Xenopus tropicalis: one gene and its partner. The protein of the gene in region 1 purifies or fractionates together with the protein of each later gene. This does not show direct contact. Links are inferred from orthologs where the notes say so. Each region holds a gene or a part of one and is shown in the gene's direction. Other genes may lie near its edges. The genes, in order: eif3d and eif3h.

Region 1 (3,826 bases):
TAGAGGTGCGGAGTGACTGGGAGGTAAAGGAGGAGATGGACTTCCCACGGCTGATGAAAATGCGATACATGGAGGTGTCTGATCCATTAGACATGTGAGTGATGACTGTGATTTATTCCTTGCCTCACTTTTCTTTCAACAAACCTGTCATTAACAGGGAATTTTATTTTAATTGTAGTGTCTTTTAGATGGCAGTATCCTAAGCAGCTTTGCAACTTATCTTTTTTGCTGGATTTGTATTAATTGGGTTTTCATTTTTCGAAGTGAAATCGTTTCTGCTTGTTAGGGCCATTGACTAGAATACGGATTCCACGCCCACCCTTTGCTCATATTTCTTTTAAGAACCTAGATACTAAAATGTATTCTTATGTCTTCCACTTTAAAGGAACAGTAACACCAAGAAATGAAAATGTATCAAAGTAATGAAAAAAAAAAAGAATGTACTGTTGCCCTGCACTGGTAAAAGTTGTGTGTTTGCTTAAAAAACCCTACTGTAGTTTATATAAATACCCTGCTGTGTATCCATGGGGGCAGCCTTTCAAGCTGGAGAAAGGAGAAGGCACAGGTGATGTAGCAGATAAGCCCTGTAAAATACGTAAAAAAAAAGGTGTTTTATCTGGTTTCTACCATGTAACCTGCACCTTTTCTCCTTTTATTCCCAGCTTGAATGGCTGCCCCCATGGCTACATAGCAGAGTGTGTATATAAACTGTAGTAGCGTTTCTAAAGGAAACAGATCAGTGTTACCAGTGCAGCGCAACAGTGCGTTACGTTTTAATTACTTTAAAGTGCTTTCATATTGGTGTTAGTGTTTCTTTAATAATGCAAAGCCACATTAATTTCCTTATTTATTGTACTTTTGTAGGCAGTTTCAGAAGGTTTCTGTGCTGAGGCATTATATACAGAACTCACAAGAACTGTGTCAGTTTCACCATCGTGCTGCTCTGTAGGCGGCGGCCTAAATGCAATATTAATATTGCATGCTAACCTACATAAAATGCTAATTATTTCTTGGAAATAATGTATCTAGGCAAGTATTTTAAATCTTCTCATTCCTCATGCCAGAGAGTGCTGTGGGGCCTTGGAATTCTATGACAAAGCATTCGATCGCATTACCACCAGAAATGAGAGACCTTTGAAGAGTATTAAAAGAATATTTCACACAGTGACTACCACTGATGATCCTGTTATTCGGAAGGTGAGGTACCATTTTGCTTGGACTTTTTTTCTACAAATTAAACCTTGTGATGTATTGACACCTAATAACTTTTCTTGTATTCTTTCTCCATAGTTGGCTAAAACTCAGGGCAATGTCTTTGCTACTGATGCTATACTTGCCACGCTTATGTGTTGCACACGTTCAGTCAATTCTTGGGACATTGTGGTCCAAAGGGTGGGGTCGAAGATCTTCTTTGACAAGAGAGACAACTCAGACTTTGGTGAGTAGGCAAAAGGTGGCACCAGTCTAAGCTTTGTGAGCTCTGTAGCAACCAAAGCCTCAAACCCTAATATAGTAGCTTGGAGGTACGAAGGGGAGCTGAGAGTCCAGATGCATGCCTCTGAAGCTTCCCCTTGTTAGCTTTATATAATCACATCACTGAGCATACTGATCAGTACTGGAGAATGGCTAGCAAGCCCTCCAGAAGCCCAGAGCTCCTTGTGCACTGTCGCCATGGCCATTATGAGATAGGTAAAGCCCTAGAGGGCAGATTCAAACTTGTGTATCCTCACAGCCTTAGGGTTGCTGTGTCACAAATGCAGTAAGCTTTATAGATAGAATATCTTTTTTAACTTCACTATTATTGGGCTTAAGGTAGCCTGTAGATTAGTATTGTCTGAGAATGTTCTGTGTTCAAATATTTTACAGCAAATGGCTGAACCTGGTGGTCTAGATGTGTAACCTGACACCCTTAAATATAGTTTGCCGCCTGCTCCACCTAGGTCCATTAGTGTTCTATATAGTGATACATATTGAATGACTGTGTAAAATGCACAAACAACTGCAACCTTAACATAATGTTATATTGCAGTTGTTTCCATAGACAGATAACAAATTACATAGTTTATCTTAGTAAAGTCTAAATCTCTGATATGGACTTATGCAAATGGAAAATGGGGCTGATCAAGGTAACTTTTCTTGTGGAAAGATAACGTTAAAAAGGCAAAGTTAGGGATTAGCACAAGTTGCTTCACTTTGTACACAAAGGTAAGAGGCACTTGTAACTACAGTTGTTAATTAAGTGAAATTAAACTTATTGGCTGTGGCCTGATCCGTTGGATATTTTGTTGGAAGTGAGCCAGGATAAATAGTGGCATGAAAAATGCCCTGTGTGCACTATTTATAGCCCTAAAACTCCTTTTCCTACTCTACTTATGTAATACTGTCTTGATTAGATTGTATAGATATAAAAGCCATGATTTGATTGGCATGCAATGAAAAGTGCTTCTGTACATGATTTTGTGTGTTTAGTTCTCTTGTGTTTTTCTTGGCACGCTGCTTAATTTTTATGTCCTTCTCTAGATTTGCTCACCGTGAGCGAAACTGCCAATGAGCCCCCTCAGGATGACGTGAACTCCTTAAACTCCCCACGGAATCTGGCCATGGAGGCCACTTACATCAACCACAATTTCTCCCAGCAATGCCTTCGCATGGTGAGTGCTTTGACTATAGAAGCCTCATATAGAATATAGGCATATAGAAGCCTATAGACAGTGAAGCCTCAGTTACTAACATTGGCGATAAAATTTCTTAACAGCAAAGGCCCATGGCAAGCAGTCTGCAATTTACTTTTAATAGTTAGCAGAAAATGAAAGCATACATCTGATTGGCTGTATGAGCAAATGCACTGGTGTCACTGAGCACCTATGTTTTATATGCTACCCATAATGTTCTCTTGTTCATAGTATGATTAAATCTACTTGTAGTTAGTTGGCTGGAAATAGTTGGTATCACTCAATAGGCAGGCTGTACTAGGGTGTATTATTATGTTGGGAATTTGGGTGCCAAGTGTGTCTCATATGTATGTGAGAATTTATAATGGTGCTTTTTTGGACCCAGTTACTCTCACTATAGCTTTGGGGGACATAGGGACTGTAGGTATAGCTTCCACCTGTATGAGGCAGGACATTAAAGGAACAGTAACATCAAAATATGAAAGCGTATTAAAGTAATTACAATATAATGCACTGTTACCCTGCACTGTATAACTGGTGTGTTTGCCTCAGAAAGACTATTATAGTTTATATAAGCAAAGCTGCTGTGTAGCCATGGGGGCAGCCATTCGAATGAGAAAAGGCACAGGTTACTTAGCAGATAACAGATAAAATGCCATTGTATTCTACAGAGTTTATCTGTTATCTGCTATGTAGCCTGTGCCTTTTCTCCTTTTTTCCAGCTTGAATGGCTGCCCCCATGGCTACACAGCAGCTTATTTATATAAACTATAGGAGCGTTTCTGTAGCAAATACACCAGTTTTACCAGTGCAGGGCCACAGTACATTATATTTTAATTACTTTAAAACACTTTCATATTTTGGTGTTACTGTTAAGGAACAAAAATGGCTCCTCCTTCTCAAGCCATATCCTACAGTACAGCTCAGTTTTTTCTAAGTGCCAAGGTTAGGACCAGGTCTGGAGTACTTCATGGGCCTTCAGGAACCAAATATCAGCTCTGGCATTCGTTTGGCCCTCTTTTCTACACTTTTTTTTTTTTTTTTTGCAGCATCTCACAAATGCTTTGGATGCAAAGTTCTGCAGGTGTTGGTCATTTTTGGCTCCGCCTGCTGCCCTCTGTTTGATTTTCTTTCTAGGTGACAACTTTGGTCCT
Region 2 (3,826 bases), on another chromosome or scaffold:
GATTCCGAGTGCCAAACAAAGGAGCAGCCTGTCTGCAGGTCCTACCATTTTGCTCATGGAATTGGTTCTATTTCTACCTTCTTATACAAGGTCGTCGCCCTCAAAGCATCCGCTATTTCCGAGAAGGGAGGAGGTCTGCTTGTGCCATAGATATACAGCAGCATGCAGGGAGTATGTGCTACATATACAGGCACCCCCTTGTGCCCTCACCTTTCCCATGGCTTATCTCTGCCTATGGGCGTCAGGCCTCGCGCTGTATCGCTCTCTCTTGGAGCTGTGTGGCCATAGTGTCTGTGATTTGCCATGCACGGAAGGCATGCAGTGTGCCGGGGAGCAGTGCAGTCTGCATGCTAATAAGCTCAGCATTGAAATTTTTCAGCAGGCAGCCTTATCGCTTGCAGTAGTAGCAGCAGCAGACAAGAGGCAAATACATTAACTAATTGTCTCTTTGCATAGCATGGCCCCCTAGCATTACATACCTCCTGCTTTGTGTGAGTCCTCTGCTATTCCTCCTTTATTTCCTAAATGGGAATATTAAGAGGTCAGGTTTTCTTTAACCTATCATCTATTTAGGTGTTACTGACTCTGCATGCAAAGTACACTGCCTAAACAAGCTCATATGTAAAACCCTGCTTCATCTAAATAAACCATTTCAATATAAATATACTTTTTTTTAGTAGTATGTGCTATTGGGTAATCCTAAATAGGAAACTGCCATTTTAAGAATTAAGGGCCGTCCCCTGGGATCATAGGATTCACAGTGCACACAAACAAGCCAAGGCACACATACATGCTAGGCCCCATCAGCCAATGAATGGGCAGAGTTCTGCCTTTTGCTCCCACACTACTTCCTGTTACAGTTAGAGCTGCATCACTTCCTGTCAGCTGATCTCTGAGGGAGCACACAGCCCATCACTAAATGGCGGCTCAAGGGAAAGGATGTAAAAGAGCAATATTTAGTGATACTGTTTATATAGTTTATATTATCTGTTGGTTAAGTGTTCATTCTGGGGGTATAGTTTTTCTTTAAGCTGCCTGGCAACTGCATTCTGTATAACGGCTTACTTCCCATAGCCCTCCTGTTTTATAATTGTCTCACAAGAAGTTAGCAGGGGTCTCAACCTATAGGGATCTGGATTATGTTGTCCACCTATTACACAGAGCATTGGCTGACCAGATCTTTGTAACACTAATATTTTTTCCATTTAAACGTTTCAGCTTCAGATTTCCTATACACCTTCAAGGGTCTGTATAAAATGGATAGTTCATTTTACTGGTGTGTCCTTATTGTTTTTTATGTCTGTAAGTAAGGTAACACGGGACATAAATGTGCTGAGAGTGAAGCAGTTGTGCAGTACAGACTTTGGAGCTTCTGCAATCTTTAAGCAATGCTGTATCTTCTGTAATAGAACAGGTCTGAATTATTTAGTTACGGCAGCAAGTAAAGGCACCTCTAAAAATTTCTCTCCGCTTATAGTGCCTAGCTGTTACAGAAATGATGCACCGCTTACCTCCCCTGTACATTATATCTTCTTGACATTGTAAGTAGGTACAGGTATAGGACCCAGAATGCTCGGGACCAACGCTATTCCAGATAAGTGATCTTTCCGTAAATTGGATCTTCAAGTCTATTAAAAAATCAATAAAACATCAATTATACCCAATAGGATTATTATGCATCCAGTAAGGATTAATTATATCTTAGTTGGGATCAAGTACAGGTACTGTTTTATTATTACAGAGAAAAGGGAATCATTTAACCATTAAATAAACCCAATAGGGCTGTTCTGCCCCAATAAGAGGTAATTATATCTTAGTTGGGATCAAGTACAGGTACTGTTTTATTATTACAGAGAAAAGGGAATCATTTAACCATGAAATAAACCCAATAGGGCTGTTCTGCCCCAATAAGGGGTAATTATATCTTAGTTGGGATCAAGTACAGGTACTGTTTTATTATTACAGAGAAAAGGGAATCATTTAACCATGAAATAAACCCAATAGGGCTGTTCTGCCCCCAATAAGGGGTAATTATATCTTAGTTGGGATCAAGTACAGGTACTGTTTTATTATTACAGAGAAAAGGGAAGCATTTAACCATTAAATAAACCCAATAGGGCTGTTCTGCCCCAATAAGGGGGTAATTATATCTTAGTTGGGATCAAGTACAGGTACTGTTTTATTATTACAGAGAAAAGGGGAATCATTTAACCATTAAATAAACCCAATAGGACTACTATAATTACCTCTTATTGGTGGCAAAACAATCACTATTAGTGGGGATCACTCACTCCCTTCGTAAGTAGTCCTTGGTCCCCACAAGACAGTCACATTTTCAGTTACTGGGAAATGACCATTATTAAAGGAGAATGCAAGTCAAGATTTAAAAAGCATACTGCCCAATAGTCCTCCTATTGTTTAGTAAAACGCCACACTTTTGTGAACAGTCCTATTGGGTTTATTTAATGTTTCAATTATTTTTTAGTAGAAAGGTATAAAAATCCAAATTATGAAAAAATCTGTAAAACCCCTGAAGATTCTGAAAAACAGGCCCCATACCTGTACATTTATCCCTTTAGATTTCCAGTGGACTCTTTCAAAGGAAATAACAGCTTGAGGGTCAGTGTTAATTAGATCAAAATAAAATTATTTTATCCCTTATGCCTTATAGAAAGTGAGTGTATGCAGAGTAGGTTGGGCCCAGAGAAACCATGTCCCAACTTTTATGTTGGGCCTTACTGCTTTTGTACTTTGGGGAGGTAAGTTAAGGTTGCAGCGGGCACCAATTTAGGAGGCAGAGTGCATGTATTTTTTTTTTAAACTTGTGTTTAGTTTTTGTAAATGATGAAATAAAAATCTGTTTATGAAAATAGCATTGACATTGAATCTCCTTCTGTAGATCCCATCAAAACCGGCCAGGGCTCCCTCTCGCTGAAGGCTTATCGGCTGACACCCAAACTGATGGAAGTCTGCAAGGAAAAAGACTTCTCGGCTGAAGGGTACGTGAATGAACAGTGTGTGGAACTTGGCAGCTTGCTTGTTTCCCGGATTGGGAAGGTGTGAGGAACACGGCAGAGAACATGTTGTCCAGTCATTTAAGGCAAAGAGATTACTAGAATGAGAAATCAGAAAATGTGAGCGCGTGAATTGCTCGCTGTGTCTCCGGCGTGTTCCATAAATTCCTGACGCTCCAATCATGCGATTGTGTAGCTCCAAGGGCTGCATCTTCCTCTTGCTTTGGGTGGATAGGCGCTCTTGCAGTGTCTCATTAAAGAGAAATTAGAGTGCTCGGTAACAGCTGCACCTTTGTGAGACAGTGTGTGCGTTATCCGCAGATACGTGTGCTCTGTATCGCACATGGATTGCTTGGGGTCACCTCATGAGCAATGGGGGCATAGCATTTTAAAAGATGGAAATTTGGTGCTTGAAGCATCACTACTTCATTTTGTTTTACCCAAATAGTTTGTTCTATATACAGGTATAGGACCCGTTATCCAGAATGCTCGGGACTAAGGGTATTCCGGATAAGGGGTCTGTGTAATTTGGATCCCCCATACCTTGATACTACAAAATCAATAAAACATTAATTAAACCAAATAGGATTGTTTTGCCTCCAGTAAGGATTAATTATATCTTAGTTGGGATCAAGTACAGGTACTGTTTTATTATTACAGAGAAAAGGGAATCATTTAACCATGAAATAAACCCAATAGGGCTGTTCTGCCCCCAATAAGGGGTAATTATATCTTAGTTGGGATCAAGTACAGGTACTGTTTTATTATTACAGAGAAAAGGGAATCATTTAACCATTAAATAAACCCAATAG

The links.
Region 2: the proteins of eif3d (region 1) and eif3h purify together in Homo sapiens (affinity purification with mass spectrometry; 10 studies listed by BioGRID and IntAct, counting the BioPlex papers as one, with this or other methods). This does not show direct contact. The link is inferred for Xenopus tropicalis from reciprocal best matches to the Homo sapiens genes EIF3D and EIF3H.

What each region holds. Positions count from the first base shown.
Region 1 is NC_030680.2:123,536,135-123,539,960, forward strand, and holds part of eif3d (eukaryotic translation initiation factor 3 subunit D), read left to right. Parts: coding exon 1-94; intron 95-1,064; coding exon 1,065-1,197; intron 1,198-1,290; coding exon 1,291-1,438; intron 1,439-2,520; coding exon 2,521-2,651; intron 2,652-3,826. UniProt on the Homo sapiens protein: mRNA cap-binding component of the eukaryotic translation initiation factor 3 (eIF-3) complex, a complex required for several steps in the initiation of protein synthesis of a specialized repertoire of mRNAs.
Region 2 is NC_030682.2:136,703,933-136,707,758, reverse strand, and holds part of eif3h (eukaryotic translation initiation factor 3 subunit H), read left to right. Parts: intron 1-2,899; coding exon 2,900-2,999; intron 3,000-3,826.